4 linked regions of the Drosophila melanogaster genome follow. The protein of the gene in region 1 interacts with the protein of each later gene in a pairwise test. Each region holds a gene or a part of one and is shown in the gene's direction. Other genes may lie near its edges.

The links.
Region 2: the proteins of CG3342 (region 1) and CG5292 interact in a two-hybrid assay, tested with the Drosophila melanogaster proteins (one large-scale study listed by BioGRID).
Region 3: the proteins of CG3342 (region 1) and CG2278 interact in a two-hybrid assay, tested with the Drosophila melanogaster proteins (one large-scale study listed by BioGRID).
Region 4: the proteins of CG3342 (region 1) and CG8173 interact in a two-hybrid assay, tested with the Drosophila melanogaster proteins (one large-scale study listed by BioGRID).

The regions. Positions count from the first base shown.
Region 1 is NC_004354.4:6,524,352-6,531,645, reverse strand, and holds CG3342 (uncharacterized protein), read left to right. Parts: upstream 1-3,757; 5' UTR 3,758-3,842; coding exon 3,843-3,895; intron 3,896-3,969; coding exon 3,970-5,278; 3' UTR 5,279-5,540; downstream 5,541-7,294. Other genes in the region: RpL7A (ribosomal protein L7A), read left to right, coding at 215-520; Agxt (Alanine-glyoxylate aminotransferase), read right to left, coding at 977-1,148, 1,217-2,079, 2,381-2,530; CG3918 (uncharacterized protein), read right to left, coding at 5,920-6,780, 6,852-6,956.
Region 2 is NT_033777.3:17,150,073-17,157,497, forward strand, and holds CG5292 (uncharacterized protein), read left to right. Parts: upstream 1-1,788; 5' UTR 1,789-1,901; coding exon 1,902-2,384; 3' UTR 2,385-2,422; intron 2,423-2,478; 3' UTR 2,479-3,447; downstream 3,448-7,425. Other genes in the region: Det (deterin), read left to right, coding at 1-105, 167-298; Smug (Single-strand-selective monofunctional uracil-DNA glycosylase), read left to right, coding at 584-895, 957-1,487; Mur89F (mucin related 89F), read right to left, coding at 3,448-3,735, 3,812-7,425.
Region 3 is NC_004354.4:8,163,995-8,174,154, reverse strand, and holds CG2278 (uncharacterized protein), read left to right. Parts: upstream 1-3,888; 5' UTR 3,889-4,258; coding exon 4,259-4,665; intron 4,666-4,734; coding exon 4,735-5,189; intron 5,190-5,260; coding exon 5,261-6,201; coding exon of another isoform or gene 6,202-6,366; 3' UTR 6,367-8,322; downstream 8,323-10,160. Other genes in the region: slpr (slipper), read left to right, coding at 1-117, 180-294, 694-2,573; Or7a (odorant receptor 7a), read left to right, coding at 8,447-9,610, 9,812-9,889.
Region 4 is NC_004354.4:17,705,807-17,713,622, reverse strand, and holds CG8173 (uncharacterized protein), read left to right. Parts: upstream 1-3,969; 5' UTR 3,970-4,181; coding exon 4,182-4,441; intron 4,442-4,975; coding exon 4,976-5,334; intron 5,335-5,410; coding exon 5,411-5,988; 3' UTR 5,989-6,222; downstream 6,223-7,816.

The DNA.
Region 1 (7,294 bases):
ACTCCTGACGCCTTAATTCTTTGTTAAGGATTGCTAAATCCTTGGTTTATCTTTGAATTAGTTGAAGAGCTAACAACTAGATCTAATAACTAAGCCAAAGATAAAGTTAACATTTGAAGAATTGAGGGCAACTTGATTGCATACAATGCGCAAGCCCACGAACCACGTGGTTTTCCAAGACGACAATTGATTAACGCGTTAATTTCCATTCCAGCTGGTGCTCTTCCTGCCCGCCCTGTGCCGCAAGATGGGCGTGCCCTACTGCATTGTGAAGGGTAAGGCTCGTCTGGGTCGCCTGGTGCGTCGCAAGACCTGCACCACCCTCGCCCTGACCACCGTCGATAACAACGACAAGGCCAACTTCGGCAAGGTCCTGGAGGCTGTGAAGACCAACTTCAACGAGCGCCACGAGGAGATCCGTCGCCACTGGGGCGGTGGTATCCTTGGCTCCAAGAGTCTGGCCCGCATCTCTAAGCTGGAGCGCGCCAAGGCACGCGAGCTTGCCCAGAAGCAGGGTTGATTCAATCTGAAGCCGGTCCGGTCCGATGGTGGAGACTTTTAAGTACACATGGATGAAATTAGTTGGGCCATGCTCACTGAATTTGATAACTAATAAACTTTTAAGTGTACAATTTTTTTTGTTTTTTTTTTTTTTAATCTAAGTGCCTGTGAGAGTGCTTTTGGATGAGTCGATGATTTGGCGTCGGCTTGGATTCAATAAATCTAAGATGTATCCATGCCCATCACTCACTTTGTTTTCCGCCAATCGGGAAGTTGTGCCTGTGAGAAAGAGAAGTCTTCTTGAATTGAATTTGGCCAACTTCCGCTTCTTTGTACCATTTCTCTCTAGATGACAACAAATTTCACATGCCATATGTTTCAAACATTTAGCGAACAAAAGACAAAAGGAAGTACATTTAGTTTTCCATATTTGTTTTTATTTTATAACTAGTGATAGGAGCAGGGCAACGATTTGTTAGATTTTCGATAGATCCGTCTTGATCCCCAGCTTGCTGCTCTGAATGGCCTCGTTCAGGATGCTGAGCACCATGTCCACGCGCTCCACGGTAGCGTTTTCGCCCATTAAACCGATACGGAAGACGTGCTCCACCGTGGGACCCAGACCACCGCTAATCTCAACGCTGTACCTGGAAAAAAAGAAAGGATTCAATACGGATCTCTATCGAGGATTCGCGTCCAGTTGTACAATACTCACTTGCGCATGGCGTACTCGGCCACCTTTTTCCAGTCGACGCCGAAGGGCACCTTAATCGTGTTCACCGTGGGCAAACGCTCCTCCTCGCGCGACACAAACATCTCAAGACCCAGCTCCTCGATGCCCAACTGCAGTCGCTTGGAGCACTCCTGATGGCGACGCACCACCGCCTTGAGGCCGACGGCACAAAAGTGGGCCAGTGCCTCACGCAATCCGTAGAGCAGGGTGGAGGATATGGTGTGGTGGTAGATGCGGGGTGTGCCATAGCAACCCCAGTACTGACCAATCAGCAGGATATCGAAGTAGTAAACCTTCGGCTTGGTCTTTCGCTTTCGGATGCGGGTCAAAGCACGCTTGCTGAACGAAATGGGCGTTAGACCGGCGGGACCACCGAGCGATTTCTGCGAACCCGTGTACGCCACATCCACCTTCCACTCGTCCATGAGGAATTCGGTGCCGCCGAGCGAAGCCACCGTATCGACGATGAGGAAGCAATCGTACTTGCGGCACAGTTCGCCCAGCTCACGGATATTCTGCTGGATAATGCCAGTCGAGGAGTCACCCTGGGCAATGAAGAAGACCTTGGGTCGATGCGCCTCGAAGGCGAATGTGATCTCTTCGTGCGACAGTGCCCGGCCGAAACTCGCCTCCACGTAGTGAACTTCGGCACCATAGCGACGGGCCATATCCCCGGCCCGATGACCCCAGACGCCCGTGATGCCCATGAGCACCACATCGCCATCCTCGATCAGATTGCACAGAGCGGCCTCCATGCCCGAGTGGCCGGCGCCGCTGATGCACATGGTGGCATCGTTGAGTGTCTGAAAGATGTACTTAATGCCCTCCTTCACCTCGTCCATGATCTGCAGATATACAGAGATTAATATACAAACACCTGGCCATGCTCAGTGGGAATAGCTCAATTCATGGGGGGATCACTAATATTAGATTGCTATAAAGTATAAGAGATGTGCTGGTTTCACTCGACTGGCTAGCCCACAGATCTCTGACCCAGCTCAGCAAATGTATCTCAATGTTTCACTTCGTTCAGATAAGGTACAGTGCGGCCCATGAGTATATGGACTTGGGCTTAACTTTTCGATATAATTCGAGTATTAAGCTCAATCTTGCTAGCACTTTTGTGGTTTTAAGAAGATATTGTACCTGCAGGCATTCGGGATGCATGTGACCCAACACCGGATTGCTCATGGCCTCCAGGACGCGATGGGAACAGTTGGAGGGTCCGGGCCCCATCAACGTCTTGCTGGGCACATAGAGCGGTCGCTTGAGTACAAGTGGCGGTGGTACCTCCATGGTCTTTGTTCCCTATTTACGTAATCAGATCTCTGTGTTTACGACTGCCTTATCGCCTTCTGCTCTCTAATCCGCTGTGCCAGGTAGAATGGGTGTTACTACTGTTTGGTGATGGGAGTTGGTTTTTATGGGCTGTCTCTCTCGGTGGCTGGCCAAGATCGGACTGAAACGCTTGCCGGGCTGCTGGCCACTTTATAGCGCACCGGATCGCAGCTTATCGCCGCAATTTTCGCCGATGAACGCACTTGAACAAGTGGTAAATGATGCGCTCTCCCGCTTATCAAGGCATCAAGATCGAGAGCAACTGCGTCGTTGGCGGCACAGAACGAAATTTGGAATAAGAATAATAAGTTAAGACTGCCATTTGATGGGTCAAAAAATCATACACAGTTTTAAGACAAGATCTTTACGAAATAATATGACTTACTACTCAATTAATTTCATTGTTAATCTGAAAGAAGTACCATTTTTTGTTTGCAGTGTGCTGCTGCTGATTCTTTGAATGGCCTTGGGAAGGTTGGCGGACCAATGTCTATTGTGAAATAAGAAATCCAGCGAATTCAGCAAGACGAACCTTGACTGTGGGTACGTATACGTAATGTAGCAACTTCTTTTTCGAAGCTGGAAGCATCTGCAGAGTGCAGAGATCAAGATCTAGCATCTAGATCTTAATTCTCTCGAAATCTCAGCCCACTGACAACTAACATTTGGGTTGATAGCAGTGCCCGTATCGTCAGTTTTTCCATTAGCGATTTGGAGTGGAAAACACATCGTGACCAGGAGGTCAACCGCCAATAATACAAATGTCGTATTGAGTGGCCGAAAATATTTATTACCATTTCGCTGGTGGTGAAATTAGAATCAAAATAAAAACAAAAACATAGATTTAGGAAAGTGATAAGCAGTCAAATTAGCAGGTCGTGACTATAAAATTTAAATGTTCGTTTAAATATTGATTGATTTTTCCATATTTAAGGCACAAGCATCTTTTTAAAAACATTGTTTCGAATGTAGAAGTAAGTTCAGTTTGGTTTTAATATATTGAATTAATTATATTGAAACGAATTGAATATAGAATATATATTCTATTACAGTTGACTATATTAAACATATATATGTATAAATATGTTTATTTTATGGCCTTTTTGCTTAATATTTAGTTATAATATTTTATAATTTTCCTGAAAGCAATTCACCGGTGGAAACAAGTTTTCTTCGTTTTGGCGCTTGGTCACACTTTCTGTTTCGGTCAAAACAAACTGAACAATAGTTAATGTTTTTAAACATTTTCGATGCGACTGCATAATTAGGCATGGAAATCGGCAACGATCAGTCCTATCAGGACTTCTTCGACAAGTTGCGAAGGTGAGTCTGTTTCTGGACGGGATTGGGACACTTGGCACAGTGGTATATACATATTAAATATATATGAACTCCAGTGAATCGGGTCCTCGCAACTTGCGCCAGATCTTTGAGGACGACGATCGTCCGCTGGCGAACGAATCATCCAGCTTGCGCTATCAGCCAGGCAGCTCCAAAAAATTGCAGGCTGGCAAAAGACCGGCCATGACCAGGAGTAGCACCCAGGAGACGGGTGATTCACCGCCTGCCGCCTGGAACACGGCCATTGCCAAGGTGGTGCATGCCTATCGGAGCAGCGAGAACGTTGGACGCGTCGGCCTGGCCCTCTCGATTCTGGGCGAGATGGAGGCCAGCAAGCTGATTGTCTACCGCAGCAAGAGTCAGGTGCTGACCACGCTGCAGTTGACACCGCGTGGCGGCAAGGTGATACTGCGCGAATCCTATCTGCAGTTCTACGATGACGAGCAGCGCTTCTGGAGCCTGCGATTCGACAAGGAACCGGATGAGAAGGAATTCATAACGTTTATGGTCAAAAACAAACTGCCAGTGGAGCACTATCTCAGCGAGATCTCATCCTCCAGCTCGGCATCGCCTTCGCGTGAGGATTTATCTAAGATCCGAACTAAAGCAACGGTCACAAAGACGACGCCTAATCCGCCACAGCCGCAACCACGTTCCCGCGTAACGCTGCCAACGCTGGAGAAGGCGGACGATGAGGAACGCGAACGGGAAACAGAGACACCTTCCAATGAGGATGTGATAGTAACGCCAGTGCCGCGACCCATAGGTTCGTCAAATGCTCACAGGAAACTCAGTGCCAGTTCCCTGGCGGTGGCCAACGCTTCAACGAGCAGCGATACTCCGTTGGCTGTGACGACACTGGACAAATATCTAGACGAACAGCGTGCCTCGGGTGCGTTAATGGAGCACAAGATGGACGCCATTCTGCAGGCCATGAATCGCATGGGCGGCCAGTCGAGTGTTGCGCCCAAGAAGCCCAGTGATCCGCTGCTGGAACGCGACAGCGAGGACGAGATGCTGGAGCTGGAGCAGAAGCTGCTCAACTTGAAGCGGGAGAATCGAGCGCTAATGCGCAACCTCAAGGCACGCGAACAGGCGCTGGAGGATCTACGCTGCTCGGCGTGCGCCCTTTGCGAGGAGCTACTAGTCCAGAATGGCGAGCTCAAGTCGCAGAATGCCCAGCTGTTGTTAGCCAGCCAGCATATTTCCGATTCAAGCACAGCTGCTTCGCCTGCCCATTGCCGCAATTGCGAGTCGTCTTCCCGGCAAATAGCCAAAATGCAGCTACACATTTCCGCACTGCAGGAAGCGCTGCGAATCTTTCAGAAATCAGGCGACTCCAGCTCCAGTTCGGGTCGGTTATAGCACCTAACGTAGGCGTATTATATATGTTCGGTATTACTATCGAAAAGTGTATTAAATCATTTGTTAGGTCGCGTAACATATCCACAAATACAAGCCAGACACTATTAGCTATCTTTAAGTCATTAGATTGCCATGTTATTGGGCTCATTTACAAAGCGATTTTCTAATCTATTACAACTATTATTACTAAATGTGAGATATAAAATATGTTGCGGAAGATTATAATTAATAGCAACCCATGCTTTGCTCTCTCTCAATTATGAAAAACTCCGACTTCCTCTTGTACAAACTAATTTGTTGTATTTGCAGCACACATCGGGCTGAAATTTAAGGTATAGGGACAAGTCTACGGTTTGCGCGTCTCATAATCCGTGGGAAGAGTTCATGGAGAAGTTGTTTTGGGGCCTGGAACTGGAAGTGGAACTGGCAGTCTCTCTGTGGAAGTGAGGAGCGGAAAGGATGGGCTGGCGGTCCTGCTCCTTTACGTTTTTACGGCTAAAATGGAAAGCGAGCTAGTTTGCGGAGCGAGTGCTTTGGGAGGCAGCTGTCTATCCATCCTGATGCTGATCCAGATCCAGATACAGATCCACATCTAGATTCTCTTGCTGATCCAGTTAATCCTTGTTTGTTTCTTTTCTTTCTCAGTAGGTGCTGCTGTCGCTGAGGCTGCTCAGGTAGCTGCTGCCGGCGGTCGGAGCACCGGATCCGCCGGCACGATGTCGCTTCCGCTTCGCCTTGGTCTTCTTGCGTCGCAGCATGGCCGTGTCCGTGGACTTGCGCTTGTACTTGCCCTGCCGCTTCTTCTTGCGTCCGTACTCATCCGATTCACTGGTGCTGGACTCCTCGTTGTCGCTGGAATCCGATTCAGACGAATCGCTCGATGTGGAGGAGTCATCACTCGAATCATCGCTCGATGACGACGATGAGCTGCTGGTTGATGACGAGGAGGAGGAGGAGGACGACGACGACGACGACGAATCCGAGCTAGAGGTGGAGGATGATCGTCGTCGTTTTGACTTCTTGTTGGTGCTGCCGCTGCTCGGTCGCTTGCCTGTTTTGGTTTTGGCCAGCTCGCTGCTGCTGTTGCTGCTGCTATTGTTGGTGTTTGTGGTCTTTTTGTGCTTCCGGCTCCTCTTCTTGCCATGCTTCTTGTGCCGCACCGACTTCTTGTCCTTGCTCTTCTCGGCCAGCTTGTGGCTGCTCTTTGAGTGGCTACGCTTCTTGTCCTTGCTCCGGCTACCCTTCTCCTTCTCTTTCTCCTTCACCTTCTCTCTCTCCCGCTCCCTTTCCCGCTTCTTCGCCTTGAGCCTGTCGCGGCTCTTGTCCTTGCTCCTGTCCCGTTTGCCTGCCGCGGGAAGCACCGCTGGCTCCGTTGGCGGCGGCACCTCAGCGCCACTCTTCAGCTCCTGGGCTCTCAGTTCGGTGAGCGGCGTAAGGTAGTCCAGCTCCGAGTCTGAGCTGGTGCTCTCCACATCCAGCAGGATCTCCTTGTTGGGGTCCACCTGTTCAGGATAGCGGTTAGCGGCGGATAAAAGCAACATAAACATGCGGTCTATGCGATTGGTGCGCTTACCTTGAGAAAATTGCGGCATTGGTAGGTCAGGTGACCGGCGTAGCCGCATTTCTTGCAGGCAGCCCGCAACGTATCCTTGTTGACGCTCGCCAGTGGGAAGTTCATGGTTGCCGCTCCGCTGCCGGTCGTACCTTTGCGGCGTTTGGCGGGCTGGGGCTGGGGCTCTGGCGTTGGGCGGGCTTGTCCACTGACTGATTATTATTTCGCCTCGCGCACCATTAATTGATATGTGCACAACAACAACAACAACGATACCAACAACAATGGGGTAAAAATGAAACGCGAGTTGAAGTAAATCGCGTTTTTAGTGCGGCCATGCGGCCGCGTTTCGAACATACCATGCCGGCAGCACACCGGTCCGCTTAGCCGTGACAAGCACCGATAGGCTGCGGTATGCTAGCTGGGGTGACACTGGCACGGAAATACCGTTGCCCGAACAAGAG
Region 2 (7,425 bases), on another chromosome or scaffold:
ACCCTGGATGGCTGGGAGCCCGAAGATGATCCGTGGAAGGAGCACGTGAAACATGCACCCCAATGCGAGTTCGCCAAGCTATCGTGTCCCGAAAGGAATTTAACCGTATGTTCCCCATGACTCCCGAATCCAGCTGGCATCCTAAACTTGTGTATAATTCTTGCAGGTATCACAATTTCTGGAAATTCTTGGAACCGTCGTTAAAGGCAGCATAGAGAAAACCTGCAAAGCCTTCAAATCGAGCTTCGTTCGGGAGAATGAGAAGCGTCTAGATGAGTTTACGCGTAATCAAAAATAGAGCGCTAATTTTTAAACCTTAAATATACATATATAAAACTCGCTATTTATCAAGATTTTTAATAAAACGCAATGTTAGTCCATCGAATGTATTTATAAATTAAACTGTAATAGGATTTTTTTTTAATTGCTTATTTTAAACCAATCTGTCTCGTGTTCAATTTAAAAACTTCAAGGTCGTATATGGTCATACTGAGTCTTCTATGTGGAACAGCTGATTAAAACCAAATCCAATGCAGCTTTTAAATCCTGCGATTTGTTGTCCTGTTCCGCTGAAGCAAACGTTATGCTGAAGCGCAAACTGAACCAGCAAAAATGCAATCTGGAGATTGGGGAGCCCACTAAGACATCCGCAAGGCAGGGCAGTACATCGGAATTCTTTGATAAGCCGCTGTGGCTTAAATTCTACGAAACCGAAGTCAAGTTAAATGAGGCGCTGGAAAAACTGAATCCTCCTGAGAGCACACCGTTCATCTACAACCCGATAGTATATGCATCCCAGCTGCACTGCGACTATTTACGTCGCTATATGGACGGTCCCAAGAAGCTGGTATTTGTTGGCATGAATCCAGGGCCCAATGGAATGGCCCAAACCGGAGTAAGAGCTTAATCTTGTAGATTATCCGAACATATTGATACATTGACGCGCTCTGCTTCAGATTCCCTTTGGCAATGTGCGCACAGTAAAGTTGTTAATGCAGCTGGCTGGTTCGGTGGACCAACCTCCAGTCGTGCATCCCAAACGTCCAGTCGCTGGCTTGGATTGTCGGATTGAGGAGCCCAGTGGTGTGCGTTTGTGGGAGCTGTTCCTCCGACTGGCTGGCAGCATGCAGACCTTCTCCCAGCAGTGTTTCGTCCACAATTTCTGTCCGCTAGCTTTCTTTGGCGCAGATGGCAGGAACATAACGCCCAGTGAAATCAGAGGAGCTTACAAAAATCAGCTAGGAGACCTGTGCCTGCACACCCTGGAGGAACAACTGAAGCTCCTCCAACCCGACGTGATTGTGGCCGTTGGGGAGTATGTTCACAGCGCACTGAAGCGTTCAGGATATGCCAAATCCAATTGCGTTTCGGTGCTCCGACTGCCGCATCCTAGTCCGCGTTCTACTAATAATACCAATTGGCCCGAGAAGGCTCAAGCATTTTTGGAGGAGCACAACCTAATCCGATTCATGCGGAATGAGGCTTGAAGCAAAAATGGTCAATTATTTAGATAGTATTTACATATCTGTATCTGTACAAATACATTCTATGTATATATAAGGATATTACTGCACATACTATAACTTTAAAGCTCTACATTTATAAGTGAGTGGCAAAAGAGAATACATTATTAATAATTTCAGTATTCTATTGAAACAGAATTCTCTATTTTATTTTGAGATATTATTTATTTGCGGGGAATACCCCAAATACAAAAGGTGACTTCGCTTTCCCACCGTGACCGCTCGTACAGTGACCGCTCACCGTGACCGCCAGCTGTTGCGCAGTGCTGGAAAGTGCCGCCTGAGTGAGAGCTACCCATTGTTTTTGTTGACCTGGTCATTTCATCTCATCTGTTTGCGGCTTTTCACCCAGTTCGCCCGAGTCTATTTCCATGCCAAATGGCCGCCTTCATGGAGGAAGCGTTAGTGGAGGCGAGGCGGGCACGTGACGCCGGCGAGGTGCCCGTGGGCTGTGTGTTCGTTCATGGGGACAAGGTGGTCGCACGTGGCGGGAACGAGGTGAACGTCCACCGGAACGCCACTCGCCACGCGGAATTCATTTGCATCGACGCTATCCTCGCCAGCTGCCGCGAGAGACGTCTGCCGGCCCGCCAGCTGTTCAGCGAGATCACCGTGGTGGTCACCGTGGAGCCCTGCATTATGTGCTCCGCCGCCCTGCACACTCTGGGCGTCAAGGAGATCATCTACGGCTGTGAGAACGATCGTTTCGGAGGAAAGACGGTCGTGGATGTGGCCGCCGTCGTTGGCCATAGGATCGAGATCACGGGCGGTGTGCGGGCGGATGAGGCGATGGCTCTGCTAAAGGATTTCTACAAGGGCGACAATCCGGCGGCACCGCCACAGGCCAAGAAGAAAAAGTAGGATCAATTGTCGAGGCCAAAAGCGTGCGTGAAGAAGGGGTAATTATAAACCTAAAGAATTTGCTAGAGAGAACGATACAGTATTGGTTTTTCAGGAGCATGAATGGAGTCAACCACTGATCCTCAAAGAAGTAGGAAGCTATTACAGTCATTGAAGTAATATTTAAAGTATGATAAAACTATAGAAAAATAGTAGAATGCAAAAGTCTACGTTTTCGTAAAATTCAATTACTTCCAAGCCTTCCAAAATCCGGAAACGAGCAGATTACCGAAAATCCGAAGGCAAACCTCTAGTTTACTCATTATTTCAGAGGGAACAAGCCAAGAAACGTATTTATCTTATAAAAGGAATAGTATTCCGTCGAAATCATCGTGAAATAGAGAACGAATTTCAAAAACGCAATCAGAAATGAAAGTAGTTAGAATACATAAAACTACAATCGCATAAAGAATGAAAACATTAGTGCTCCAGTCATCTGCATCCTGGAGGCATACATCCGAAAGTAAAATAAGTACCACTGCATCATTCTTCGACGATTTCTGTATATGATTCAATTTATTATAATCTTTAAGCATAGTCTAAGATATATTGTATATGGCGTTCAGAACGTATGTTTTAACTCTAAGCATAAATACAATTACTGCATGAAAGCTACAGCATTTACGTGTGTGTAGTGAAGGCTGTGCCTGTTTCCACTATAGGAAGACTACTCAAAACCTTTTGTTTCCTTTTCAAATGCGTAAAGTGCAGTCTCGCTAGCAGTCCGACACCAAGAATCTAGTTTACCCTCCAACAATCGAAGCAATATATATTATAGAAATATATGGTTGTATTATAGGCTAACTTGTTTTAAGTTCCCACTTGTAAGATAAATGTCGGAGGGCTGCACCCGTGCTTAACCTAATGTAATTTCCCTACGTCCTAAGCTAACTCTTCGGTTCGATCGTTTGCTGCGCCAGCTTATTGCCTCGATCGCAATCAGCTAGCTGCCAAGCTGGCCATCAAGTGCTGGCGCAGCAAACGAACAATGGCGGGCGACTAAGTGAATCTAGACTAAATCTAATTAAATGCGCATGCTGCGGCGTCTATGGCCAATGTTGAGCCACTCCAGCGGCACGTTTCCGCCCACATTGTAGGTGGTGGGCGTGCAGTTGGGCAGCTTGCGGGCGGGCTCGCATCGTCGGCTAACGTTCCAGTAGGCGAATCCCTGCGGACAGCGGTGGATCTGGCCTTCGATGCGACCCGTCAGCTCCGAGAATCCGCACTTGACGAACAGCTGGCCGCACTGGTCGTTGTTGAGCGCGAAGTGACCCTCATCCGGGCAGAGCGGATCTGTCGTGCTGATTTGAACCTGTTGATGGTAAAATAATTAAATTGTATTATTTCATTATGGAATGTAGACTAGACTTTACAATTATACGACTTACCACATTCTGAAGTTTCGTTTCCTCTTCAAACGCGTTGGTGGTCCTCTTCATGTCCTTGGAGCACTTGTCACCTGCCGGTGGCTTGCCACAGCTGCAGGACTTGTCTTGGTAGACGGTTCCGTTGGGGCATTGGAATACCACGATGTTAAGATCATTGTTATCGGCACTTTCGCTGCACTGGTAGAACATGCCGCACTTCTCCGGATGCCGGCGGAATCCAGTGGGGCAGACGTACACGTTCTGACCTGGTCCGGTTTCGGGACAAGGAGCAGAGGTATTGGTACTGGGAGCAGGACTCTCCGTAGTGGTAGGCGATTTTGACGTTGATGTTTCTTCCCCAGCTATGGTAGTGGTTTCAGGCTTGGGTGGTTTTGTAGTGGTTTCAGGAGTGGCTGTGGTGGTTGTGCCAGAAGTAGTAGTAGTGGTTTCGGAGGCTACTGTGGTGGTGGTTTCAGGAGACGATGTAGTGGTGGTTTCAGGAGCCCATGTTGTGGTGTTTTCAGGGGCCTTTGAGGTGGTTTCAGGTTTTCCAGAGCTGGTTGTACTCTCCGTCGTACCAGGTTCCGTAGTCGTTCCCGGCGTGGTCGTCTGTCCCGATGAGCAATTGCCAGACACCTGATCGGCGTAATTGCAGGTCTCGGTGGACGTGTCCCAAACAGTTCCTTTGCCGCACTTGAAGGCATAAACCTGATATTTGCCGTTTTTGGCTGCATCCACACAACGGTAATAGCGACTACAGTCCTCGGGATCTGGGAAGAATCCCTCCGATGAGCAGTTATAGTTAGGCTGTGGCTCCGGCTGAAGAGTGGTTACTGAACCTTCAGGGGTGCTGGATTCGGGACTTTCCGTGGTTGTTGTGGGTTCGGGTTTTTTTGAGGTTGTAGGCTCTTGAATTGCATCCGTGGTTGTGGAAGGTAATGTGGTCGTGGTAATAGGTTCGCCGGTGGTAGTTGGCTTATAGCCAGGAGTTGAGGTTGTAGTTTCTACCGGAATCGGCGTTGTTGTTGGATTATAGCCCGGAACAGACGTTGTTGTTGGATTGTAGCCCGGAATACTTGTGGTGGTGGGTTCTTCAGTGGTCGGCTTCTGAGGATATTCGGTTGTAGTGGGTTTCTGGGGCTTCTCTGGAGTAGGCTCCTCCGTGGTGGTCGGCTTCTGAGGATATTCGGTTGTAGTGGGTTTCTGGGGCTTCTCAGGGGTAGGCTCCTCCGTGGTGGTTGGCTTCTGAGGATACTCGGTTGTAGTCGGCTTCTGCGGCTTTTCTGGTTCCTCTGTGGTGGTTGGCTTCTCCGGATATTGAGTGGTCGGCTTTTGAGGTTTTTCTGTTGAAGGTTCTTCGGTGGGTTTTGTAATGGGTTTTGTCACTGTGGTGGGCTCATCCGTTGACTGCGGAGTGGTGCTTCCGGGATCCTTGGACTCTTCACTTGGTGTCGTAGTGATTGGTTCAGCGGGTAACTTCGAGCACCTTGGTATATTCTCCACGTAGTCACAGGTCTGAACTTCTTCATTCCATCCCGTGCCCTTGGGACACGTAAAGTTGTACTTTCTGTAGGAAGCTCCAGCATTGATGCATCGGTAGTATTTCCTGCAATCTTCGGGATCGGCCATGTATCCCTCTCCTGTGCATTCCGTTCCAGCTGGTAGGGGTTTCATAGTGGTTGTAGACGGTGGTTGCGTGGTGCTTTCCGGACTTGTGGTTACCGTTGATGTTTCAGTTTCCGAACTCAATGTTGTTGTAGTGGGTTGAGCTCCTGTGGTCGTGGTGGGTGGCAGTCCAGTTGTTGTAGTCGGAGGCAAGCTAGTAGTTGTAGTGGGAGGCAACCTAGTAGTTGTTGTAGGAGGTAAGTCTGTGGTTGTAGTTGGAGGTAACTCGGTTGTTGTAGTAGGCGGCAATCCTGTTGTTGAAGTGGGTGGTAAATCAGTGGTGGTGGGTGGAGGTGTGGTGGTCGAGGACGTAGACGTGGCCGTTGTTCCATTTGTTGCTGGCTCACAAGGCGGTTTTGGAGTGGTACTTTCAGTGCCCGTACTGCAATTGTTGAAATTGTGGTTGCAGGTCTGCAGATCCTGATCCCATACGGTACCAGCTCCACATTGGAATGGAATTGAGGTGAAGCCGCCTTTGTTGTTCCTTACACAGCGGTAGAATTTGGAGCAGTTGTTGGGATCAGCCATAAAGCCCTCCGATCGACATTTGCCATCCGTATTGGGTGCCTGAGTAACAGGAGATGTGGTTTGGGATGATGAAGCTGTTGTTGGAGAAGAAGTGGTTGGTCTGGCAGTCACTGGACGTGCGGTAGTGGGCGGACCTGTGGGTCTCGACGTTGAAGTTTGGTCAGAAGGTCTAGAAGTGCTTGCCGTTGTTGGCCTGGAGGTCGTCGGAGTAGAAGTTGTAGGTGGAGCAATACCACCGCATTCCTTTACTGCCCACGCATGATTACAGGCCTGCATCTGGGCATCCCAAACAGTGCCAGGACCGCAGCTAAAGGGTACCATATTGAAGCCACCTCTGTCATTATCGACGCAGCGATAGAATTTGGCACAATCCGATCGATCGCCAATAAATTGTCCATTAACTTTGCAGGTTTCAGATGGATTTGGTTTTGACGAAGTCGAGCTGCTGCTGGAGGAGGACGATGAGGAGGAACCTTGATTATTATTATTGCTTGATGATGATGAAGACGATGTTGACGAAGATGTCGATTGATTTCCAGAAGAGTTCGAGCCGGAAGAGGAGCCACTATTGGAGGATGAGCCTTGATTCGATGAGCCACCGCTGGAAGAAGCGCCACTGTTTGACGATGAACCTGTATTGGAGGAGGAGCCACTGTTGGAGGATGATGAACTGGAAGATGATCCACTGTTCGACGAGGAACCACTGTTGTTTGAGCTACTCGAGGAGTTGCTGGTGCTGTTAGAGGAGCTTCCGCCTTGGCTAACCACCTTTTTGCATTTGAGCGGCTTGGTCTGGATCTGATCAGGATGGTTACAGCTGTTGGCCTCAGGATCCCATAGCGTGTTTGGAGGGCAGGTGAATGATACTTTTGTAAAACCACCCTTACCATTATCCACGCATCGATAAAACTTCGAGCAGTTTTCGTTGTCAGCCAAGAAAGTTTCCTCACTTTCACATTTCTCTGCAGGTTTGAAAGGCTTTTGTGTAGTGGATGATGATGTCTGGTTAGATGATGACGATTGATTGGAGGAGGATTGATTCGAGGACGATTGGTTAGACGAAGAACTTTGATTTGAAGATGATCCCTGATTTGAGGAAGATCCTTGATTCGATGATGATCCCTGGTTAGAAGAGGAACCCTGATTAGAGGACGATCCTTGGTTCGAAGATGAACCCTGGTTAGAGGATGATCCTTGGCTCGAAGATGATCCCTGATTGGAAGATGATCCTTCGTTGGAGGAAGATCCCTGGCTAGATGATGATCCTTGGTTAGATGACGATCCCTGATTGGAAGATGATCCTTGGTTGGAAGAGGAACCCTGATTGGAAGATGATCCCTGGTTGGATGAAGAACCCTGGCTGGAAGATGATCCCTGGTTAGATGACGATCCTTGGTTGGAGGACGATCCCTGGTTAGAAGAGGAACCCTGATTTGAAGATG
Region 3 (10,160 bases), 1.6 Mb from region 1:
AATCTCCTGAAGATCCGGGAGCAGAATCTGCGCGAGCGTGAAAGAGTGTTGATCGAACGGGAGCTTGTCATGTTGCAGCCGGTGCCATCGAAACGCAAACACAAAAAGGGCAAAAAGGTATGTGAGTCAAATTAGCCAAAAAAAAATCTTGCATAACATATCTTATATCTATCTTTTAGAACAAACCACTGCAGATATCGCTGCCCACGGGCTTCCGGCACACGATTACGGCTGTACGCGACAAGGCGGAACAGCCGGGATCACCTTCCTTCTCCGGATTGCGCATCGTGGCACGTGAGTACTTTGTCTATCCCAGAGATCTGATTAATTTGAGGGTATTATATATAGTACAGTCCTATGATGAATTATACTTTTCAATCATGGTTTTATGGTATATTTGTTAGACTTAACTCTATGTACGTATGTCTCTGATGAGAATTCAGTGCATTATGCAGGTCTTTGAGATAAGATTAGGCATTAAGTAGACCCAAAATTAGAACAGGAGACTAGACGTCATGGCCATGGGAATGTAAGATACCACCTCGTATCGTTGGACAAATTGAACTAGATTATTTGCATATTTTTGTTATCATTATTTTTGAATTAATTTTTGTATATTTTATTGATTTGCCTTTGGTTTCTTCGTTATGTTCTTATGTTCCGTATTATTTTGATGACATTGGGGTGAATCAGTGACCGATGGGCACAAGGGCAAGACGTGGGGCCCGTCGACGATGCACCAGCGGGAGCGATCCCTATTGCCTTCGCAACTGAGCGGCGGTCAGCCGGAATGGCCCGCCCAGACCTCAACTCACTCCTCATTCAGCAAGAGTGCTCCGAATCTGGACAAGAAGCAGCAGCAGCAGAACCAGCAACAGGTGGCCTCGCTGACACCGCCGCCGGGTTTGGGAATTTTGGGTGGAAGTGGAGGCGCTGGTGGGACGCCGGCCACACCATTGTTGTACCCAGGTATACCCATTATACTAACGCGCCCCAACAACAACAACATTGGCAATTGTAAAGCCATCACCACCACCATCACAACTACCACCACCACAACCACCAACAACAACAACAACAACAACAACAGCATCTCCGCCAACAACAACAATCAGCTAAATAATATTAGTACTATTAATAGCAATAACAATAACAATCAAACTAACCTGACCTCCCAACCGAACACGATAATTGTCCTCCAAAACGGCCGGAACAACTCCAACAGCAGCACCACCAGTCAATCCCCAGCCAAGATCTACCATCGCGCCAGGAGCCAGGAGTACGGACTTGATCATCCGCTTGCTTATCAGCCACCACCACTCTATTTGGTAACGGATGACAGCTCGGAAACGGACACCGTTGCCAGTCCGACCGGTTGCTTTCACTTCCTGAAGTCCGGCAATTCATCGGCGGCCAGTGGTGCCGTGCATCTGCATCGCTTTGGCGGCAGTCTGGGCAACAGTCCAGCTGTGGGCAGAAAGAAGCATTCGCTGGACAGCAGCAGTCATCATCCGCCTGCGAACGGTAGCAATAGCTTTGCACTGCCCAACCAGTTAACTCTGCCATCGGAGGATAACAATACGTATGACCATGCCTTCTATCGGGATGTGATCAAAAAGATGTCCATGGCCAGCAGCGAAAGGGTAAACTCCAAATCCAGTGGCGACCTGACCATGTACAACTCCAGCACACCGCTGACTGCCAGGGATTGCGATGATGCGGAGGAGGCCTTCGAGGGTGGACGCTTTCAGCGTAACTTTTCCGGCTCGCAGTTTCCACGGCACTGCTTCTTCACCAGGCAGGAGGAGGAAGGGGAAGCAGAGGATGAGGACGCGGTGGCGGCGGAGGTGGACACAGCAGATGCGGATGCCGACGATGAGTGTCAAGTGCCCGCCAGTCAGATGCGCCAGAACTCCACCACGTCGCGCAAGAGTTCAGTGACCTTCCAGAGCGTCAGTTTCGAAGAGCCCGATTTTGTGGCCACGCCGCGAACGACTGCCAGATCGGATCTATATACATCCAGTGCCTCAATTAGCTTCGCCACCTACCGCTCCGCCTCGCCATCGCTGTCCTCATCGTCCACCACTGCGTCCGCCTCACCGTCCATTGCTTCTACGGAAGCCGTGAACGGCTATCACATGCAGGAGAACTCCATACTGAATACGCGTCGGATGCAAGATGTTCAGCCGCATCCCGATGTCATTAAGCTGCGGGCCCAGGAACAGCGCCAGCAGACCAAGAACCAAAAGAAGCAACGGCCCAAGCACATAACCAAATCCAAGTCTGTTGAGGCGCCAGTCGAGGGACAGCACCATGAACATGATGACCACAATGATCCCCAGCACCAGCATCACTCGGCTGGATCGAGCAAAATCCGTGCCCTTTTCAATCTCTTTACGCGCTCGCGAAAGAAGTACAGCAAGCTGGCGGAGCACAACATGGTCGGTGGACCCGAGTTCTGTGCCATTGATCCCTATCAAACCGATTTGGCGATGGGGGGCAGCAGTCGCTCTTTGAAGCGCAAAGGCAAAAAGCCGCAGACGCAATCCTGCGAGCAACTGGAGCGATGCTAAAGTCCCAGTTGTGCGCCGTGCTGCAGTGTTGCTGTTGGAGTTGGCCGCCAGATGAGAACCGCCTAATTAGCTCATTGTTTTATATTAAAACTGTAGACTAAGTCAGACGCAAAGGAAGAGCGAAGAGATGAAACAGCAGGCGAGGATTAGCCATAGCTAATGTGTGAAATTAGTAGGGCCCAGAGATACAGATACCTATCCGAATTCTTTCCGTCTAACGAAATCATAGAACTAAACAAAAAACCCCTCTGTCCGCGGTTGGCATTTCATAATAACCGAATTGTTCCTAACGAATGCAATATGTTGTGCGAAATTCACAAATCAAGTTAATCCCTAATTAGTCCAGTGATTTGTTTTGTTTTTTTTTTTGTGCCAGAGGAGTGGCTAGAAAATTGCAATGTGTAGCACAGAAGTGAGGACGAACTTTTGAGGATCAAACGGATAGATAGACTAACGCCGCTTGTACGTAGACAAACAGACACGGAGAGAAAAAACGTGTGCATGGGCCAATGGCAAAATATATTGAACTAAACCATATACATAAATGTGTAACAATTGGATTAACATTAAGCTATATTTATACCGATGCGTAAGTGCGTCCTTACACATTACACATTACACACATCTTAGTTGAACTAAGTTCTAGTTTTGTAGGAACTCGAACATTTTTTTGGAGTCCTTCCTCCTTTTTTTTCACCCCCTCAATCTTTGTAAGAGATATTTTCCAAAATTTCCATCGCTTGCGGCATTTCGTTTGGCTTAAGTACACTTAACGAAAAGTTGCGGTGCACATTAATTTTAATTTGATATTCGACTTTTTTGGTATTTTGAGCACAGTTTTATTTACATACATTTATTATGCAATCGGGTTTTCCATTTTATTTATTTATGATTTATTTCTACAAAAAAAAAAAAAAAAAAGCACAAGAATAATCGCGCAAAAGAAAGAAAGAAAAAAAAACCTGTGATCAAAAAACGATGATGAAACGAAAAGGAAATGATCATTTTTTTGTATTATTTTTATGAAAACTTTCAATTGTATATTTATACTTCATTTTACGATTTGTTCATTCTACGTTTAGTGCTCGATTCTATTTCAATGTACTTTGTATATTATTGTATTTTCCATGTTGGGGCCAAGCCAACCCCAAAAAAAAAAACAAACAAAAAAAAAAGAAGAACCAATACCCAGAAACAGAAATCCGACAATAAAACCAACTTAAGACAATCTGCCGACCAGTTTTGATTGCCTCGCAGCTAAAAAGCACAGAGAAAGTCCAATGATCCAAACTAACATTTAAATTACTTAAACTTATTTAAAGTGAAGCTATCTTTTAATGTCAATTTAACGTGAAAATGACTGAATGAAGAATGGATTTTCTCTGTGCATGAGCACAATCCACAATTTTGGACAGAGAGAGAGAGAGAGAGATTAACCTATTAATATAGGACGAACAGAGTCTCCTTGGTATGCGGTGGTTAAACTTTGGTGTTGCCTGCGGTTACTATCCAACTACTCTTGTACCCCCCGCCTCCGACTATCCGATTACCACCCGACTACCGACCATATCCCAGCCATCGTTCCCCCAAGCCAGTACCAACCATATGCCGTAACTCAATCATGTCTCATATCCGCCTTGGAATGCTGCCGATCGGACCGACCAGGCTACCAGGGCAATAGCAAGATGGATAACTGGCGTCCGGGTGCCACCAACATGCCGATTATGTCGCCATCGCCATATCTCCTCAGCCGCTTCACCAGCAACGTGCCACTGCCGACACTCTATGCCGGCGATTCGGCGCGCAAGCCGAAGCTTTCCGTGATCGAACTGTTGCTGTACAACATGGCATCCCTGCTGGCCGGAGTGGCGGCCGGATATGATGTTCGCATGTCGAACGTGTCGCCAGTGCATCCGACTTTGCTCAGCGAAGTGCCAGCTCTGAAGGCGGCACCAAAGGCAGCGATTACCGGAACGGAAGAGGTGGTGGAGGATTCACTGCCGGAACAGATCCTGGAACTGGAAGTAAATGTGCCACTGAAGCAGCAGGAGCTCAGGGAAAGCACGCCACGTAAGATAGTCACACAAGCAAGGTAAGTGCTAAATGAATCCGAAAGAGCGCGAATTCTTTATACACTATATACTCTATTCCTGCCCCCCAGATTTGGTGGCATTGAAGCTCCGGTCAGCAAATCGCAGCCCACATCTCTGGCCCGGCGCATCGGAGGCAGTCAGCCGTACTACACACCTGTGCAGCGGACACCACAGCATCAGTTGCACCATCACCACCAGCAGCAACAGCAACAGCAGCAGCACCATCATCATCATCCTCACCAGCCACAGCCAGTTCCATCGGCCGTGGTGACAACAGTAGCGCCATCACAGCCGCCAGCCGTGGTGAGTGCACTGTATGCCGGAACCCAGCCACCGACGCCATCGCCACGGCGTAAGCTGAGCAACAGCAGCTTTGGCAATGCCAATCCTCAAGCGGATGTCTTCGAGGAGTTTCGTGTGGGCGGTGGCATTGGTCCACCGCCACTTTATGCGCCAGCCGATTACCTGAGAAACGGACCCAGTTACTCCAACGATGGGGGAAACTACCGAAATGGTTACTTCGGTGAGTGGGCAAGCCATTAGACATTCGAGGAGAATCCTCCAATTTAAAATATACTAATTGCCCGTTGATAGGTTCCAATTACTTTCCATACCGGCCGGAGTTGAACTACAGCTACGAGCGTGACTGTAAATCGTATCCGGACTATTCCTACGACTATAACCATCGCCTGCCGGACTACTATGACTACCAGTATGAGGCGCCACCAGTGGTGCCGCTGCCCGTGACCGTTCCCTGTCCGGTGAGCCAGACCCGTACACCACCACCGCGGGTGCCACAGATGGGCGTAAGTGCGGCCGGACACCGACGCACTCCCTCAACCGTTTCGAACAATTCGAATGTACTGCTGGAGCACGAAGAGCTGCTGTGCTATGACTACAACAATCTCAATCTGAATGCGGAGTACGAGAGGGAATGCGAGCGGGAACGAGAGCTTGACCAGGTGCCGCCGCCGACAAAGCAGGAACTGTATGCAGGATCACCCAAGCTACTGAACCGCCTCATCCACAGTCCGTTGCCGATGACCAAGAGCAAATATGCCACGGCGGCGGTGACGCGACCAGCCAGTCTGCCCTTCGAGCAGCATGCGCTCTCGCTGGGCTATCAACAATCCGGAGCGGGTTCGGTGGTTGCTGCACTACCACCACCACTGGCCGGCCAGTCAAAGCTGCGCAGCTCGCTAAAGAAGTACAATAGTGGGAATGGTGGCAATGGGTCAACATCCTCGCAGCAGGGCACACCCACTAATCCCACGCCGCCGGACTCGTTGACCAGCGATGACAGCTCCTACTTGAGTGCCAAAGAGGGTTCCATTGGCTCCCAGCACAGTCGGGTGCGTTTCAGTCCGGAGGCCTATCTGGATGCCAATCCGCTGCCCGCCTTGGGACGTCGGATGACGGCACCGGCGATGCAGCTGCCACACCAACAGCAGCAGCAGCAACAACAACAACAGCAGAGACGCCAGCGACAGGCGTCCAGTGGCAGCACTCCGTCGCCATCGGCCTCATCCTCCTAGCAGTCGCGTCTGGCGCTAACCTTGCAGTTGGCGCGGAGTCCGGGCGCGGACATTGGGACCGGCGGAGGAGCCGCTGACTTGGCGCTGCATCAGCAGCGAGTACCATATCGCTGGTACTCGGGAGCTCGGCGATCTCGATCGGCGCACTATGAGTACCGCTTGTGAAAGAGCAGGACAGGCACATCCAGGCAAGCGAAAAAGAGAGGGTTAGCCATAGCAGCTGGAAGATCTGGGAGGCGATAACTCAAGTTCACAGAAAGCAATTGGAAGAGAAATGCAATATCAAAGCGCAGATAAATCAAATGGTTTTCAGGAAGAACTAGATACATACATATATATATATCTATATCAAACGGATGACAGTAGTTGAGATGGGGAATACTACGAAATATCCTTGTGGCTAAGATTCCAGATACTATAGGTTCTTGCAGAATTTGATACCCACTGTCTGTACATAAAAGTAGCTACCCAAGTTGTTTACACCCAAGTACATATATCAACTTCGATGTTAATGTTAGCCAACCTATAGGCAGGGAAGGAAATCTTCAGGAGATTCACACAAAGATACTCCCGATCGAAAAATGTGCCCGAGGATTCAGACATACACACCCATAGACCCATAGACTTGTGCAGCCCCCGACTTGTGCGATTTGCCTTAAAAGTAGAGTGAAGACTTCACTAGTTTTGCCTAATGACGGATTCCAAAACCAAATATATGTATATCACACATCCAAACGAATCCCAAATCCCTCGTATAAGATTAGCCGCCCCATCAACGGATGGCACGGATATGGCTGATATATACTCCCATTTATGTATTATACACCTAGGTATACCTATGTATAGTGACGAAGGCCTCCACTTGCGTTCTCCGATTTTTGATTCAGATTAAGTGCAGCCAGCTAGCTAGCAAGCCATCATCAACAACAATAATAGATAACAAACAATTAATTCCGAGGACACCGCATCCCGATCAAGACACACGCCAGCCGTAAGCTCCATTTTTAAGTCTGAAAAAAATGTTTATATATTCATATATATATATATATATATAGTTATAGACAACTAGATATAGACCGATATAGACGCGTTAACCCACAAAATCACTAGCTCTGAATTGAATACCAGTTTAACTCGATCGATTTACAATTACATATAATGGATATATACGAGTATATACATGCATATACATAAAGAAGCATATTGCTGCTGTTTTTTCCAAATACTGAATAGCTATGATATTGATATAATGGCAATGAATTTGAACTACCTTTGCATATATGTATGTATGTATGCCACGTACACAGATACTTATTATATAATCATGTTTGTTTGCAAAGTGGTTTTTTTTTTTCTATTGGAAATATCTCGAGATATTCCTCAAGTTTACCAATTGAGATAATACCGTGTATATACATATATCTTAAGATATTTCCAGAACATCCCGAACGCAGGATGCACAAAATAGCTACCTTCGACTTTCGAGGAGCTGAATCAAATTGAAGATTTCGTTACTCGACTCGTTTGCCACGCGACCAAAACCCCGAAACTCTGGGCTACATTTTCTTGGAGCTGGTGGCAGGCAATAGAGGCCTCCTCATATGCATATGCGCATAAATTAATAACTATAATTTAGACAAATTGTTGTTTATGCTCACACACAAAGCCGAAGTTAACCAAAAATAGGAACCGATTGAACCACAAAACCAAGCAATATAGCCACAAATATCTGCCCAAAAAAAAAAAAAAAAAAAAAAAAAAACAGAAGAAGAATGAAACCAGTTAACCTTTACATTTACCCACTAGCTTAATTGCATTTGCCTGCATTATTTATTAATTAGTCGGAAGGATGGGGTTCTTCGGGTTCTTAAGTTAAGTTTATTTGTATTTGCTGCTTAATTGCCTTTGAATTAGCAAGCGAACGAAATTGAATTGAAATCGAATTGAAAAGTTCGATTCTGATGGGGGGTTGGGAATAATGGGCGGTAGATTTGGGGGAGGGGCGAAAAGGACTCACAAATATGCAATAACAAAATGCTGCTTGTGACTTATGTTATGTACAAATTAGCAATTAACAATTGACGATTCATTTAAATCATTCAGAGACCAAAATGCGAAAATAAAAAACTATTTTTTATAGAAAAAAAAAAGTAACGAATCGAATCGAAATGAGGGTCAACTTTTAATTGGGCAGCCTATAAAAGAGGCCATTCGAATATTCCCAGGCGTCAAAAGTCCATCAGCCATGGCGGTGAGCACTCGTGTGGCCACAAAGCAGGAAGTGCCCGAATCCCGGCGAGCGTTTAGGAATCTCTTCAATTGCTTCTATGCCCTTGGCATGCAGGCACCGGATGGCAGTCGACCGACCACGAGCAGCACATGGCAACGCATCTACGCCTGCTTCTCGGTGGTCATGTACGTGTGGCAACTGCTGCTGGTGCCCACATTCTTTGTGATCAGCTATCGGTACATGGGCGGCATGGAGATTACCCAGGTGCTGACCTCCGCCCAGGTGGCCATCGATGCGGTCATTCTGCCGGCCAAGATTGTGGCACTGGCGTGGAATTTGCCATTGCTGCGCAGAGCAGAGCATCATCTGGCCGCCTTGGATGCGCGGTGCAGGGAACAGGAGGAGTTCCAATTGATCCTCGATGCGGTGAGGTTTTGCAACTATCTGGTATGGTTCTACCAGATCTGCTATGCCATCTACTCCTCGTCGACATTTGTGTGCGCCTTCCTGCTGGGCCAACCGCCATATGCCCTCTATTTGCCTGGCCTCGATTGGCAGCGTTCCCAGATGCAGTTCTGCATCCAGGCCTGGATTGAGTTCCTTATCATGAACTGGACGTGCCTGCACCAAGCTAGCGATGATGTGTACGCCGTTATCTATCTGTATGTGGTCCGGATTCAAGTGCAATTGCTGGCCAGGCGGGTGGAGAAGCTGGGCACGGATGATAGTGGCCAGGTGGAGATCTATCCCGATGAGCGGCGGCAGGAGGAGCATTGCGCGGAACTGCAGCGCTGCATTGTAGATCACCAGACGATGCTGCAGCTGCTCGACTGCATTAGTCCCGTCATCTCGCGTACCATATTCGTTCAGTTCCTGATCACCGCCGCCATCATGGGCACCACCATGATCAACATTTTCATTTTCGCCAATACGAACACGAAGATCGCATCGATCATTTACCTGCTGGCGGTGACCCTGCAGACGGCTCCATGTTGCTATCAGGCCACCTCGCTGATGTTGGACAACGAGAGGCTGGCCCTGGCCATCTTCCAGTGCCAGTGGCTGGGCCAGAGTGCCCGGTTCCGTAAGATGCTGCTCTACTATCTTCATCGCGCCCAGCAGCCCATCACGCTGACCGCCATGAAGCTGTTTCCCATCAATCTGGCCACGTACTTCAGTGTAAGTCCGCTCTACTATTAGTTACCATAGTTAGAGATGATAGGTTATGAATAACAATCTTGGCTTAAGAGTTAGAGGATTACCAACTGAGGACATACTCTTTCTATTTTCCAAATACAAAGCACATACCAATTTTCTTATCCTTAGCATGATGTTTATAGATTTTCCTCTATATTAATAATATTTTCTCCATATCTTTAGATAGCCAAGTTCTCGTTTTCGCTCTACACGCTCATCAAGGGGATGAATCTCGGCGAGCGATTCAACAGGACAAATTGAAGACCATTTATCGTTGATGCACTGAGAAATACATATATATAATCTATCAAATTTCGCATAATATGCGTATCTATATATATATGTATCTATAGGATGCGCTAGTTTTAGGGATTTTAAATCCCAACTGTAGCTTGATTATCCATTCCAATATGATACACACTGTATTGTAAGCAAATAAATTAGAACACGATGTGCCAATTTGTTTTTTGTAGTGTATTCCCTGCTGTAGATATCAAGTAGATACCGAATTAAAAGCGAAATCAATAATGAT
Region 4 (7,816 bases), about 11 Mb from region 1:
ATGTGATAATATTTACAAGTAGTTTTGAAACTGAAGCAAACAGTGGAAATGCATAACGGTACTAAACAAAAATACATAATAATTTTGTAAAAAGTATCTAATAGATATAAGCAATATACTAATAAAATTACAGCAGAGCACTGAACGAAAAAGATGGCAAAGTGTCCAATGATTTGATTAACAGATGTCGTGCGTTTTTTCTCTCTGTGCATGTGTTTCAGTGCCTGTGCGCTTGTTTGTTAACCGAGTTTTGTAGGTGGGCTTCAAAACCGATTGCAAGAAAACAACAAACGTAAGAGAGACGTGGACAAAGACGAAGCCAAATGGCAAGGCAAAAGGTTACCATAGAATGCCATCAATGACCTTGACACACCAACCCGCACGCACACACGCACACACACACAAGCACACACGCACGCACATTCGTGTTCACCTGGAAATAAACACACCTTCCTTCCGCTGCGGGCAAATAACCGTAACAGAAAGGTAAGAAAAAAAAATAAAATGGAAAAATAAAGCAAATGAGGCAAGCGAACGAAATCCGAAAACGGCAATAAGAGAAGTTGCCTTCAAGGCGAAGGTAGCCTTTTTTACTGTTTGCTGCCACTTATCGCGATCGTTTGATTGTGTGTGTGTGTGTGTGGCTGTCTGCTATTACCAATTTCTGCTGTACGTGTTCCCCCAATGGCCCATGCTAATCCAAATGCACATGGGCATATCGGTCACAGGCGACAAAAACATTTACTATTTGCCGTGGTGAAACCCTTTTACCAGTTATAGATTTAATTTATATCTGTTTTGAGACAATAGCTTTTAAACTGCTTTTATTAACTAGCTTTAAATACTTTTATTCAATACTGCATTAATTAATTTGAAAAACTTCTGCATGAAACCCCTTATACAAAGTATTATTTACTGCAATATGTTTTCCGGAATAAATAGAAATAAGTGGTGATTTACAAATTTGTTTAAATATGCGGAGCTTGTTAGTTTATGAATACATTTTAATAGATTGGTTATAGTTTTTATATGTATTATTTCTAAGAAGTTGTGCTAAGAGATTGACTCTAGTTGTACGTTTATCCTCTATTACTTTTAGCTCTCCAAAAGCAGTATGCATATATATGTACATAATACAAACGATCTTGGGGTTCCGTCCAAAGATTTCCACTTCACCTTCGACACTTTGGTCGCCTGAACATTCGATGGGAGGAGAGACCCTGCGCAGGGGCTTTGTTGTCTATTCGCCTGGGTATTTGCAGTGTACTTGTGTGTGTGTGTGTGTTTTCACCTTTTTCCGAGGGACGTACGAGCAACCCCTCGCTGAAACAACACCAACAACTAAGGCAGCGACAACCTGCGACAGGTAAAATGTGAGATAACGGGGAAAAACGCTAGTCCACAAACATGAACCTGCCCGAAAAATGTGGAAAGGTATTTTTTCCCAGGCCAAGGAATTTGCACAGGTGACACGAAGACACTTAACTCGAGAGAGCTCATCCCACAGCCCACACCAAACCAAACATTATACATCCGCATCCACATCCGCAACTGCTTCCACATCCGCATCCGCCGGTAGGGCACTTTTCCATCCGAATTTCCCCTCTCCACGGCAAAACCCACATATGAACCTGCCACATTAAAAAGCCAACTTATGAACACTGGCTCACCATTTTTATGCACTTTTAAAAAGGTGTTAAATGTATAGCCAAGTGATAAACAATTCGAGTTGGTCACTGGGTTTGACTTTCGTGTGTTGGCATACTCCAGAAGCATAGTTTCCCATTGAAAATTTGCTATGCTCAATTGAATGCTTCCTTAGTAATGGTTACCATTAAAACGTATATTCATACCAGACATTGTAGCTCTTTAGCCAACTTCAATCTGAGCCGCATTCATTAGCAGCAGTACACATAAAGATTGTATCTAGTAAATTGTATTTAATGGTACCTAATAGTAAATTAGATTAGATCTATTTGTTTACTTTGAGTTGCGGTTCTAATCGCAACATTTGTTTTCCGACGGTGGGCACTTTTGGGTACCATTATTTGTCTTCAATTGTTTCCCTTATCTCCTGGTACTATTAACTTTTAAAGTAATCTTAGTTTTGAGTTTGTAATTAAAAATCCAGGGGATAGTTATAGAAAACTATGTTTATGTAGCTATTCCTTATTTAGACAGGGCTTCAATAGGATCAATTGGATGAATTAACCAATCATTTAGTTTAAGGGTATGACAATATCTTAATCTTTAAGGTTTAAGAGAAAGAGATAATCGTACATTGAAAACCATTAGGTTCGATAAAAGGGACCAGATTACAGCATCCCCGCTAACTAACTTTATGGTTCATTAAACTTTAGTTTCATTAAGTTCATTTAAGTTCATTATTATTGAATGAGGTTACACTACAACCCTATATTTCACTTATAAAACATAAATTAGAGAGATATTCACTATGAAGTCTATGATGTTATATGTATGTACATATGTAACTCCCACTCACCGCAGACATCCAGCCATCCTTCGATTCTGCTGGGGTAGGAAATCGTTGAGGACCGGCTTAAATACGTTCGACGTCCCATTTTGTGGGGGTGGTAATTTTGTGGATTTGGTTTGGGTGGATGCTGTGTTCTCACTCTCTCGGCTTTTCTCTCGCGCGCTCTCTGTCGAGCGCTCTTCTCCCCTTTTTGGCTCTCGCACTTATCGTTTAGCTTATCGACTCGGCTCGTTGAGTTGTTGTTGTTGGTGCTGCTGCTTAATTTGAATATTGATTTTGTTTGTTCTTGCTGTTGTTGTTGTTGTTATGGTTTTTATTGCACTTGTGCCTTATGGCGATTTTGGGGGTTATTGTAAAACAAAAGATTAAAGCAAGATTTGTGGCAATTTCAAGAGCAGGTTGCCGCCGCCTTTGTTGTAGTTATTGTTATTATTTGATTTTTAACGATTTCGTTTCCAATTCCACTCTTTGTTTTAATCACCATATTTCCTCTCTCGCTACACCTGATTTTCGATGTTTTTGGCGTTTTTCGCTGTTTTTTCGCCGTAACAGCTGAGTGGCATTTTTGCGGCTCCTCTTTTCGTTTATATTTTCGGTTTCTTCTTTAGTTATTCATGTTTTTTGTTGTTGTTAACACCAGAAACCAGTAAAGAAACTTTATTTTGCACCTTACATACGCGTGTGTGTGTGCGTGCGCGTATATTTAATTCTGGTGTTTTGTATTATTTTTAAATCACGAACTCCGCCAAGCATGTGTATATTTCGGTTTTTTTATGTTTGTGTGCGTGTGTGCCCGATCCAGAATATTAACGGAGTTGTTGTTGCTGTCGCTTTGTGTTTTTTGGATGTGACACCCTCCCACACCGCACGCGAAAAAATAAAACAAAAAATTTTAAAAAACCCGCGGTCTGGATTTTCACACACGTCCGCTTTCGAATCGCCGCGCTTGTGTGCGATTCCACTGGTGTTTCTCCACAGACTGCCGCCTCTCTGCACTCCTCTTCTTTATCGCATCTCTGCTTTGGCACGGCTTTCGCGCCAATTGTTGGTGTGAAAATAATACCAACGAAATGCGGTACTTCTGTGTCGGTTGCTGTCTGGGTAACACGCACCTGTATGGGTTCGCGTCTTGGCTAAGTGTCATATATTTAATTTAAAGCTTAACGGTACAAAACGACCGGTATTAACATGGAAAATAGTGTTGCTAACTTTTATATATTAAAAACGGATATTTGTTGGCCTTGTATTAGGTACTCCATCCAATTTCGTTGCCAACATTATGGAACTGGATTCTATTTCTTATAATTCGTAGTTAATTGGAATTTATAAGGAGCAATTTGAATGCCAACGACTAAATATTTAGTACTGCACGCCGGTCCACTATTCAGTGTGACCAGTCGCACAGCGCCCTAGAACAGCAGGCGTGTGTTTTGTTTTTCAGTTACTTCAGACGGAAGTTTATAAGCTATTACTTAGTAGAGTTTGAGTGCTCTACAAGGCAGTAACAAGAACATTGCGCTTAGCATCTATTTTGCGATTAATTCCAGTCAAAAGAGACGCCACGGTCACTCTATCGCCTAGGACCAAACACAACACCAACACTGTTGCATTCCATTTACAGTTTAAACGGTGTTTTGTGCGCGTCGCTTTAATTTTGGTTTAATTGAATTTTACTATTGCTGCGATGGACACGCCACGCCGCAAGCTAAGAAATTTGCACCTGGAGAATGTCCAGAACAGCAGCACTCCCATCAACGTGCCGCCATCGCCGATGATGAAGACCCTGGGCCACGGCACTGGGATCCGGGTCTACCGCTTGGACCGCTCGCCTCGTCTCGGCGAAATCCGCTCGCCCTGGGCCGTCAAGCGGATCACGCAGAACATGCGGGTCAAGAAGGATACACTCTTCAACGAGCGAATTGTTCACGAGGCCGATATCCTGCGGTAGGCTCATCCAAATCCAGAAGCCCAATCAAATTGGCAGTATGTGTCGGTGTCCTGCGTGTGGGTGCATGTGTTTGTGCGTGTGCGGATGCTGAATGTGCGTGTGTGCTAGGGTGATCCGATATGTGGGTCAGCAATTCATTAGGGTGGCCCACAGCTGAGCAGCTGCAGTCCATGCTCGCTAAAATACCCCATTGTAATCTAGGCTCACTTCGAATTGAATAGATCATCCTTAAATTCCAGCTTAAAATGTTATTTTGCATATATCCCATCTTTTAAACAAAAGAATCTTTATTAGATTACAAAAATTATAGCATTACCAAACAAAATATTCCAAGTAAGATCCTAAGTCATCGCACTTCAGCCGGGAAACTCAATACTAGTAAATAAAGCTATTATTAGATGTACATAGTTTTTGCTTCCAATGCATCGAGTTACCTACAGGTGACTGCGTAAAATGTGCATTTTTTATACACACTACGCAGGATTGCTGTAATAATTGCCCCCTATAAACAGCACCTTTTGACTTTACAGCAAACTGAAGCATCCAAACATCGTGGGATTCCGTGGCGTTATCACCAATGACGAGGGCATCAACACACTGGCACTTGAAATGTGCACCACTTCACTGGGCTCCATACTCGAGGAGCGACACGACGAGGATCTGGGCCCGTTGCCGGCCAAACATACCTATAAGATGATCATGGACGTGGCCCAGGCACTAGACTTTCTTCACAACGAAGCTCACCTCATGCACGGCGACCTTAAGTCCTTTAATGTCCTGGTCAAAGGCGAGTTTGAGATTTGTAAGCTGTGCGATTTTGGAGTCTCTCTTCCGCTGGACGAGCAGGGCGAGGTTAATTTCCTAAAGAATCCCGGACTGCGCTATGTGGGTGAGTTTACTGACCCCATATGATATAAATAATTTCACATTCAGTCAAATTAACCACTTATGTCTTAATATTTTAGGAACTAACCTCTGGTGCGCACCGGAGGTCATAGACGAAGTGGATGTTATTGACAGCAAGGCAGACATATTCAGCTTTGGCCTGGTTATCTACGAAACCCTTGCTTTGGTGCCTCCACATACCTTGGAGCTTGATGCAGCACTGGGAGAGGATATGGACAGTTCGCACGATTTACCCACCGACACGGACAAGCTGCAGTGCAAACAGTTGGACTTCTCCAGCGATGAAAACAAGAACGGACTACCTTCTGCAATGGAAGAACACACAGACAACGATATGAGTCAAGATTATGACGAGGAGGATGATGAGGAGGAGAAGGAAGAGGAGGAGGAAGACGATGAAGAAGATGATGACACGAAGGAGAACGATATCTCTTACTTTACACTGAATAACCTTCATTCCGCCTATGGTACACGACCACCATTGCCAGTGGCCTTTCAACTTAGCGACGATTACAACTGCGTCGTGGAGCTGTTTTATCTGTGCACAAATGCTCTCAGCGAGGATCGTCCAGCGGCCAAGACCATTTGGCAGTGCCTGGAGAACAATGGCGCAAATGTTGCGACAGAAAGCGATTAGACTGATAATCATTCTCAGCCTCCGAACTCCACAATCTTCCTCTTGAATATAATTTGATTAGATGACTCATTTTTGTTTTGAATGTACAATTAATTAGCTATAATTTTTACCCTGTAAGAACAAACCAATTACGGTTAAAGCCCCAAAACGCGAATGCACACTTAAGCAAATTGTACATATTCAGCAAGCAAAAGAGTGGTCGAATAAATCGAATCCCCAAATGGAACAAAAACTATATCGTTAACTGGTTTTTTAATTCGCAGTCTTCAAAAGGGTATATGTAAGATCTTTTTTGATTAAGGCCCGGCTAATGTATTTAAATTGATTTTTGTAAGCTAAAAATAAGTGAAAGCAATTCAGTTGAATTGAAAAGTATTGCTTACAGAGGGAAACAATTTTTTCGTTTATAAATGCAGGAACCGAATATCATTTTTAACTTTTTTGTATACTTTAACGCCTCGAATTGGTTGTGATATAAACAATAAACTTACATTGTTTTGCTATAGCCTCCCAGGAAAAAACCAATTACACACCAGATCGGTTACAAGTTCTCTTAGGTTTATTAAAAAATAATAATACATACATCAAAATATAAGGTTTTCTTTCGTGATTTGCTTTTCGGTCTTTTCAGTTGCTTAGCGGGAATACACATTAGCTTTTGTATATATATATATATACATGCGTTTGCTTGGAAATCGGGATATTCTGGCGACTTTTGTTCGATGTAAGTTCAGATTTCTCGATAATGCAAGGGTATATGTGAAATGGGTATATGAGGGGAGTGGTTGGGCGGCGATACGCATTTAGTTATAGTTTCAGATTCGCTGCTGTCTATCCTAGATCTTGCTATCTACCCAGGGTACACGTTCGTATGGGGTTAGTTATGCCCGTTGCGACCCATAAATATTAATATTGTTAACTTCAAGTCGAGCAGATCGCATTGCATCCCATCTGCCGTGAGTGGCGTTTTCTCAATTTTACTAAAGCGAATACACAGACTTCAATTCAATTGTGTGTACAGGGGTACGTACATAACATAGATTGTATTCGTTTATATATTCTCTTGTATATATATAAAAAGTATCGAATTGCTCTCTTGAAGGCGAAGGCGCTGTTGGTGTTTCGTTTGTATCTTAACGTTTTGTTAACTTTATCTCCTCGTTTTTCTATCCTTTCTCCATAACTCTAAGTGATGACAATGACAACAAAGAACTTGGACGAGTATTGGACACAATGACGAAAAAACAAAAGTTAAAAATTACAAATGGTTTTTAAAATAAACAGATATAATGAGTAATGCCGAAAAAATAAGAAATTGAGCTAAACAAAACATAGCAGATATACGCAAAATGATCGGCTCAAATTAAAAACAAGGCTTACAAATCAGGAAATATAATTTTGTTAGGCTTTTCCGACTTGTCACAGTACATAAAATGGAATGTTTTTTTTTTTTATAAATTATTCGTGCTCGTATATGTGATTTTGTTACAATTATTGCCGTTTCAAATGGTTAAGTTAAATAAATTGATCTGCCTTCAGCATTTGATGCCCTCTCTCTATTTCACTCTCTCCTCTAGCTGTCTCACTCTAGTCTAATACAACAAGCAAGAATAATAACAAGACGTAAATCTTACAAATTTAAATACACATATATATATATGCCAGGAAAAAAGATAAAAACAAGAGACTGCATTCAAAAACGTGCAAATGAATAGGTGTGTTTTCTTTGACTTTGAGTGTTTCGTGGAATGTATGGAGGAAAGTCGTATGATGATTACACATGTATATACAATCGTGTTTTATATATTGCTCACCTACAATCGGACTG